2 linked regions of the Tribolium castaneum genome follow. The protein of the gene in region 2 interacts with the protein of the main gene of each other region in a pairwise test. Links are inferred from orthologs where the notes say so. Each region holds a gene or a part of one and is shown on either strand. Other genes may lie near its edges.

The links.
Region 1: the proteins of Nrx-IV (region 2) and patj homolog interact in a two-hybrid assay, tested with the Drosophila melanogaster proteins (2 studies listed by BioGRID). The link is inferred for Tribolium castaneum from reciprocal best matches to the Drosophila melanogaster genes Nrx-IV and Patj.

What each region holds. Positions count from the first base shown.
Region 1 is NC_087403.1:1,764,351-1,768,494, forward strand, and holds the start of patj homolog, read right to left. Parts: upstream 2,852-4,144; 5' UTR 2,718-2,851; coding exon 1,977-2,717; intron 1-1,976. UniProt on the Drosophila melanogaster protein: Involved in cell polarity establishment. Probably participates in the assembly, positioning and maintenance of adherens junctions via its interaction with the SAC complex.
Region 2 is NC_087400.1:9,577,521-9,581,743, forward strand, and holds the start of Nrx-IV (neurexin-4), read right to left. Parts: upstream 2,851-4,223; 5' UTR 2,698-2,850; coding exon 2,637-2,697; intron 2,136-2,636; coding exon 2,031-2,135; intron 1,977-2,030; exon of another isoform or gene 1,957-1,976; coding exon of another isoform or gene 1,135-1,956; exon of another isoform or gene 1,111-1,134; intron 1-1,110. Other genes in the region: L-aminoadipate-semialdehyde dehydrogenase-phosphopantetheinyl transferase, read right to left, coding at 1,135-1,956. UniProt on the Drosophila melanogaster protein: Seems to play a role in the formation and function of septate junctions.

The DNA.
Region 1 (4,144 bases), on a different chromosome or scaffold from region 2:
TCGCAATTCGGCTAACAAATCTGTAAGATACGACGAAAATACGTTAAAAAAAGTAGAGCGTGAGCCGGCTCAAGAAAAAGTTAAAAGTATGTACGTAACTAAGCGCTTATTTCATTTTGTCCCCTTCAGAAATATCGCTGAAAATAATTTGTTTTGAATGTCGAGTTTGAGAGTTTTTTCCGGCACCGTAAACGTGAATGAAAATTATTTATCTTGTACGTTGAACTTGAAAGTTTTTTGGTAGCGAAGATATCAATGCAAACAATTTGTTTGAATGGTGTTAAACTCGAAAGTTTTTTGGAGGAAAAACAGCGATTATACGTCTCTCGCAAAAAAGTATCAGGTGTTCGTATCGTCAATGGCCATTCATTTGTGCGTTCAGCACGTGCGCTCCCAGTTTCTACAAAAATAACACAAATCTGCGAGGAAAAATTGTCTGAGCGCAAATAGCGATTTATTTGGATTTTCAGCTTACTGTAAAAATATTAAAAAAAAATCCATCACGTACAGTTTCTGCATAATAATTCAATGAAGCAGTCTAAGGGCCATTTTTTCTTATGGATTAATAGTTTTTGAAAAAATACAAACAAAAGCAAAATTTAAAAATATATAATTTGCCAATTATTGAAAATTTGGAATTTTCTTGACGTCAATCGATTTTCAAAATCATTTTACACAAGTTCACATTAAAATAAATCTACTTTTTCGAATAATTTAAAAAGTGAGTGTGTGAATATTTCAACATGTTTAGACATTCATCAGGGAATAAAGCTTTCTAAATAATCTATTTAGAAGATTATCATAGCAAATAATAATAATTTATTTACGAGCTAGAAATGGGTTGAGAAAATAACCGAGTTAAGTAAAAATTTCTGGCCCAAGATTGAGCTAAATCACTCAGAAATGGCTGAATCATGTAACTAGGCACAGAACAAAAAAATCAAAATAAATATGTAGACGTATAAATTTATTTATGTCGTTTTGGTCCCTTTTCAAATTTCCTTATTCCTTTTATTTATCCATAATTCATGTTATATATTTTTTCTTTTAAAAACTTGGCAGCTTGTTTCTCTCATGGGCTAAGTTTCTGGTTCAAAAACGAGCTAAAACGCTTGAAATAATCGAAAATAGCGTAAAAAATATGTATGTAACAATCTGACAAGCTTGGGAAAATGATCTTTACAATACTTTTATCTCAAGTAATTTTTTTTAAATATAAAATGAATACTTACTTGTATGTAGGTTTATTATTTGTCTGAAGTTTTTCTTTATTTTTTTCTTTTTATGGGTTAGGTACAATTTTACATCAAATCGGAGCCTTTTTATAGTATATTTTCTTTATATTATAAGAAAAAAACGTTACTACACATATTAGAAAACTATTGCCAAAATAAGGCGTTCTAAAGCAATTTAATAATTTTAAAGCGATTGTAAATAACAGAGAATATCAGTGCAAAGCGTAGTTTTCGTCTCAAATGAAGCCATTTGACTAAATCCCAACCGATTTGGCTCCTTTTTAAGCGAGAAATCGTATTTCAGTGAAACATGCACAAAAGACGTTGTTTTTGGCGAAAATGGTGCGATTTGAACCAATTCCAAACTAGTTCAAGCAAAGAATGACTGTAAATCAATGTGTCAACGGAACCAGCCCAAAAATTGCAAAAAATTTCAACCAAAACTGTATTAGATCTCTTCGCAACAGCCGAAATATAAAAAGATACTATAATTAATTAAAATCAGTGTAATTGATCGTACGTGGGCTTTTTTAAAGTTCACTGAAAAAAGTTTACATAAAAAACGTCCTTGCTATAAGAAGCTGTCCAAACGTTTAAATTTAATTGCACAGCAATTCCCGCTTGTTGTAAAAAAATGTTTTTAACGGAATTTCTTTCTTACTCAAAATAACAAGAAAAGTTAAACTCGCGATTGGTGGTTCAGTGAGTGTAAAAAACAGCCGATGTGTTTGTTGGCCCCACCTGCAGAATGTGGTCCCCGCTCTGGAGCCGTCCGTCCCTGTCGGCCACTCCCCCTGGCAGTATGGTCTTGACGACAACCCCCATATTCCTCATCCCCACGATGCCGAAGCCTAGCCCCGTGCCATCATTGATGAGATCAATGCTCTCGACCTGCGACCATTCGCTGCTGAGCAGGCTGTCGGAGCCCGTTTTGGAGGCGTCGCTCCCTATCGAGGGGGACCTGTGGATGACGTCGTCGTCGCCGGCCCCGAAAGCCTGGTTGTTCTGCAGGAGGCGCAGCGTCTCCTGGTTGCAAATGTTACCGTTTAGCGTTTTGCTGTTAAGGAGTATCATCTTATTGTCAGTGGTGTTGAAGGGATGCACGTGGGGCGAGCCGGGCGAGATGGGGGCCGAGGGCACGCGCTGCTCGTCGAAGTCGCGAGCCGGCTGGTAGTCGTCGGCATAGTCAGGGTCGTACAGCTCCCCGGAAGGGGGCACGTTCAGCACCAACTCGCCAGATGCTGTGATGTCGAAATCTACGGGCAAAATAGAGGGATGCTCGCCCAGTTGCTGGTTCAGTTCGCTTAGGGAGTCTTGCACGGTGACTACGCTCCGAAAGACGGGGTTTTCCAAAACGGAGATTAATAAACATAGGTCCTGATATGTGTTTACTTGAAGTTTCGGATCGCTCAACTCGTCCACTGTCTGTTTTATGTCTTCTAGTAGTTGTAAAGCACTCGAAATATCGGCATTCAAATGCATTATTTCTTGTTTTAAGTAAAATTAGTAAAAGGAAAATAAAATCTAAGTACACGAACACACCCTCAACTTTGCACCCTTTACTTGAAAAACAAAACGAAACGTCAGCTGTCACTTTCCAGCAGTACCAACACCGACAAAACCACTGGACTGGCGAAGTACAAGGTCAAGCAATAAAAGATGTTTTTTTTACTCCTAATTTATTTTATTTACTTAGTATACACAATTATTTTACAGAATATTACATGAACTTAAAGAACGAAAAATGCAACTCTAGTATACTTCGAAAATCAATTTTCCACCGAAAGTAACAAAAATAAGGACATGTATAGATAGAACAGACAGTTTGCGGTCACATTTCATGATGGTCAGAAAAAGAACGATGATTTACTAATGTGAAGAAAATACATTTATCACAAGGCACAACGTGTGTGAAAAAATACATTGTTACACTGATATGGTTAGAAATAAATCTGTAATAGTCGAATTGAGCGTAAAATTAAAGTATCACAAGTGGTTACAAATACTGTTTTTGTAGCAAATCATCTAATATGCTTATGCACGAAACAATGTTCTTGCGTAGTGATAAATATTTTCTCCTTATGGCGTTCAAATAAATGCATGAGTTCGATCAAATGCTAAGACAACATACAAAACAGCAAAGATAGCACATAAATAATTTTGAAGAAAGCTTGTGTATACAGAAAGAGAGGAACATACATACATTTTTACGAACATTAACCCTAAAAACGTTTGTGTTGAACTGCATTTAGGTAACAGTAGCACTTAACTAACTACCCAAAAAATCTACGGTTGTAATCATAACCGCGCTGATCATTCATCCAATCCAACTCTGACACAAAAATATATTAATCTGTTATCAGCCTTTTACATATTTATGACTACAACCGATAGTCAGTACTTTATATTTGAGTATAAAAGTGCTTTAAAAAAGTAATACAAAATACTTATTAATTAAATTCAGTACAAAGTTATCATTTAATTGTAAAATTAGTATGTAGCGTTACTTTATTATTTTCTGCGAGTAATTTAAACTTTTACACCCATTATAAGAGCGAGAGACAGACGAAAACGGAAACATTATTTACAAAGGAAATAAATACAGCCAGTTGAATTGTGCACAATTTTAAAACACTAACACCACTAAATGAATGCAAACGTACAAAACGCCAACTAATCGCTTAGCCAAGACTCTGCGCTTCTGATAATAGGTATAGAATTCACTCTCTAGGTACAGAAGGTTAAAAAATCATAAGAACTGAAGTTTGATTTTCAGATAAGCAAGATTTGGTTTTATTTTACAGAGGTTGAAGAAAGTAAGTTGAGCGCAGGGGCTTTTAATCGCGGCACTCAAACACTTGACTAGTATTCCATTTGAAATAAAACTTCAAAGCAATAAAACTACGAGT
Region 2 (4,223 bases):
TCAAAAAATCATCAAATTGACATGAACTTTCACTCATCATAAAAAAATTATCGTTTCTATCTCAACGGGTAACGATACCAACCTATTAAATGTTCCTAACCATTGTTGCAAAGTAAAAAACACCGCAGTGCGGGAAAGTTCGTTTCCCACACGCTGGAGCTACCTTAAATATTTTAGATAGCTAAAAATAGCTATGAGTACAAAAAAGCATTTACTTCAGTTTATTCACACGGCCCAAATTATCTCGGCCATAGCAAAATATGAAGTTTTAAAAAAATACTTTTATTTTAAATTTTACAATTTCCAATGTATTCTAAAATAAACAATGATTAAATAATGTTTATTTGAATTGCTAATTATTATTTAATAATTTTTAGAAGCTAACAACATTTTTTTACAGATTTTTAACATAAAACAGTTAAGCTCACTTGTCCTAAAATGATGTAATGTTAATTAATTATAATTATAAGAAATTTTTGAACGATCCTGAAACTTGTTTTTGAGATTAGAACTCTCCTCTTCCAAAATTAATAACAGGTAACTTCCATATTATTATTCATTATTTATGAAGATTTTTCGTTATTTTTTTTTCTTTGATATACTTTTGGTATAACAGTTTAAAGATCTGTAATCATTGAGTTGAGTTATAAATGTAATGGTTATTTTAAACAGTGTCATGTTCAAACATTATTCGCAAAAACTTGTACAAAATTTCGGTAATGTGTGTAAAATGCCGCAATAGAGCAGAATAAATTCATAAATCCCTATTGTTTTAGCGACCCTAATAGTGAAATTATAATTTATCGGACTAATTTAACACAACAAAAAATAACTAACTACTTGGTAACTATGACTACCAACAATAAGAATAAAACACAAACAAAAAACGTTTCTTAAACTTTTAAGTAAAAGAAGCGATTCCCCCACATGAACATGAATGCGAACTTAATAAAACAAAATTTCCATGCAATCAATACTTGACAAACTAATCAAATTGCATGCAATCGGGTCATCAAATTAAAACATTGTGCCATACTACGAATGGTACCAATCGTAACAACCCTCGTAAAAATATCATGGAATGGTACGAAAAAAACAAACAAACAAAAATCCCCCAAAACCCACTTTATTACATCAACTTTTGTCACACTTTTTAAAAAAACTATTACAATAATCCTCGTCCGGTTCTAACAAAGCAACAGCGTTTTCCATAACTTCATTAAAACCAATCTCTTTGAAAAAAAATTTCTCGCCAGTGCTCGCCTCCGTTGCAACGGCAACGCAATGCTGATCATCCAAAAGCATCTCCTGAAACTCCCAGTCTAATTTTTCCCCTCTAAAATAAACCTCTGTATCATCAACGACCCGATCTTTCCTCAAAACATCCGAGTTTATTTTAAAACAAACATCTTGCAAATTTATCGTCACTCCGACACCTACAGCCTTCAGATAACTCTCTTTCAAGCACCAGTGTCGACAAAACATCGCCAGCTGATTTTTCTCGCTACCTTGCCCCCTAATTTTTTCCCACTCTGTTCCCGAAAAAATCCGCGACATTAATCTAAAATATTCACCCAAACTTTTACCCCTCGGAAACTCCACTTTGACCACATCTACCCCCAACAAACCCGCACTGTTACACCCAGCCAACACCGTGTAATCCCCCTGATGGGACACGTTGTAATTTATCGGAAAATTGTTATTTGTAAGAAACGGTTTGCCTTTTTCATCGCGCGCGAACTTAATTTCGTTATATTTGAGTCCGGTCGCTTCGTTAACGAATTTCCTCATTAACAAGCGACCTATTAACGACGATTTAACGTCATTTTTGAACACAAATCTCGCTAAGCGTTCTTTCTCCTCAACTTGGACACAAGACGTTGCTAGCAACATGTCTGAATGGGAGGGCTCCCATTTGGATAAATTGAAAGCCCAACGGACACTTTTATTCGACATTTTTGCTCGTTAAAGGGCACCTACAGTACCATTCCATTGATATTTCAACGATGGGAGAGGTATTAAAAACTTACCCCACAAAACGGCGTTTTCGGGACCCCTTTTCGGCATGGAAGATGTGGCCTTTAAAACGGCACGTTGTAGTAACGGGTTGTTGCATTCGTACTCATTGTAGAAGTCTAAAATCAAAAAATCAAGTGGGTTGAGGATGCAATGAAAAAATCGAGTGGGTACTTGTCAATTGACTATTTTCACAGCCAACAGTGGTTACGAATTTTCATAAACGGAAATAACAGTGTTTAAAATTCTAATTTTCTGATTCCTTGAACCGGTTTATCATAAACAGGACAGAGGTCAGTTCGATTCGGGATTAAAAATAGTGATTAAGTACGAAAAATCAATAAAAAGGAAGAAATATACATCCTTATTTACATTATCGGAAATAGATGTGCAAATTGAGACCGGTGCCAGGTCAAAATGCACTAAAATAAACCGAAAACTGTTTTAATTAAATAATTAAGGGGCCCAACATTGGCGATGCTCTAATATTGGTGAAGTTGCACCTTTTTAGGTTATGATTTTATGACCAATATTTGAAGCTCCCTTATCTATTCCTTATCAATGTTTTATCTACTTATCAATATCATAAACATTTAATGACAGTTGGAGTTGAAATTTACCTGCAAACACACTTTGTCCAAGCACAGTTAAAAAGAAACAAAGAAAATTCGTGATTTCCATTACTACATTCCACGATTTGGTACGAAATAATTACTGAAGTTTAATAAACGAACACTTGGTGTACACTGCAAATGAAAAAATTGGAAATTATTTGATCAAATCATGCTGATGACTCAAGCTGTAGTCAACAAACGACAGTTACACCCATTGCAGGGTCGCCAACTGACCCAGTTGGGAATTTTTACCAATGGGTGGCTCCGATTGGCGACATTGACAAGTGTGTTTGTTTGTAAAATACGAATTTTTGATTCTATGTTTTTTGATATCAGTTTTGAAAATTATTCATTATCTACTTCTTAAGATGATGTGCAAAATTGGTAAGTACAGGCAACCAGTAATACGTGTTGACTTTACATGCATTAAAAGTTTTCCAAAAGTATCTTGAAATTCGGTTATATTCGGGATAATTGTTCTCCTAGAAAGCATAATTGTAAATACATAATGATTTTTTGTATGACACTTATTTGTGAAGATATTGACTTCTAAAAATTTGACGAAATATGAGACAGTTTTTGGAAGCTTTTATTCAAAAAAACTGATGCATACCAGAATAATTAAAATAGTGCTTTATATATCTAGAAAATTCTCTGTGCTTTTTGATTCTGAAATCAGATTTGGAATTTGGAATTTTTTTCGTGTAGAAAACCGAAAGTGAAGTTTCAAATCCGAATTTTAGTAACTTGAACCATTTTTTTTTTCATTTTTTTTTATTTCAAAAAATTGCTTATAATCTAGGATTTACATTATTAGTCGCAAAATGGGATCTCTATTCCTATAGGAAATACAGTACTTAATGTACGTGATCGGCCGGTTTACGCAAGAAATTACGCGTTTTTGAGTACATTAAGTATTATATCTCCTAAACGAATAAAACTCCCATTTTGCGACTTGTAGTGTAAACTCTATTTACTTTAAGCTATTTTTTAAAATAAAAACAAATTTAAAAAAATGGTCCATGTTACTAAAATTTGGATTTGAAACTTCACTTTCGGTTTTCAATACGAAAAAATTTCAAATTTCAAATTTGATTTTAGAGTTACAAAGAACAGTGAATTTTGTGTATAAAACACCATTTTAAATATTTTGTTATATATTGTATAATTAGAAAAACAATTTACAAAAACGTTATGCTTAATATTTGGTCAATTTTTAGAAGTCAATAACTTTTTAAATAAATCGCTCACAAACAAATCATTACGTATTTACATTCACACTTTTTAAGAGAACAATTATAACCGAATTTCAGGTTGTCGCATTTATTTGAGTGGTCCGCTTCAAGTGAATTGCCCCACCTGTGCCACCGGATTTTTCTGTGTGTTGTCCTTTGAAGTGCGTGAAAAGTGTAGAAGCGTCAAGTTCATCCATCGTTATGGCGTACTCTTTGCAGGTTGGGTATATGTGTATTTGCCCAAACACTTCCTGGCCAGGTACCCACTGATGTAGTAAACGACGTTTTTCTTTGGAAGATCGTTTCCCCGAAAATCTGTGTTTGTGACCTATAATTTATACTTTTGGTTTACTTTCAT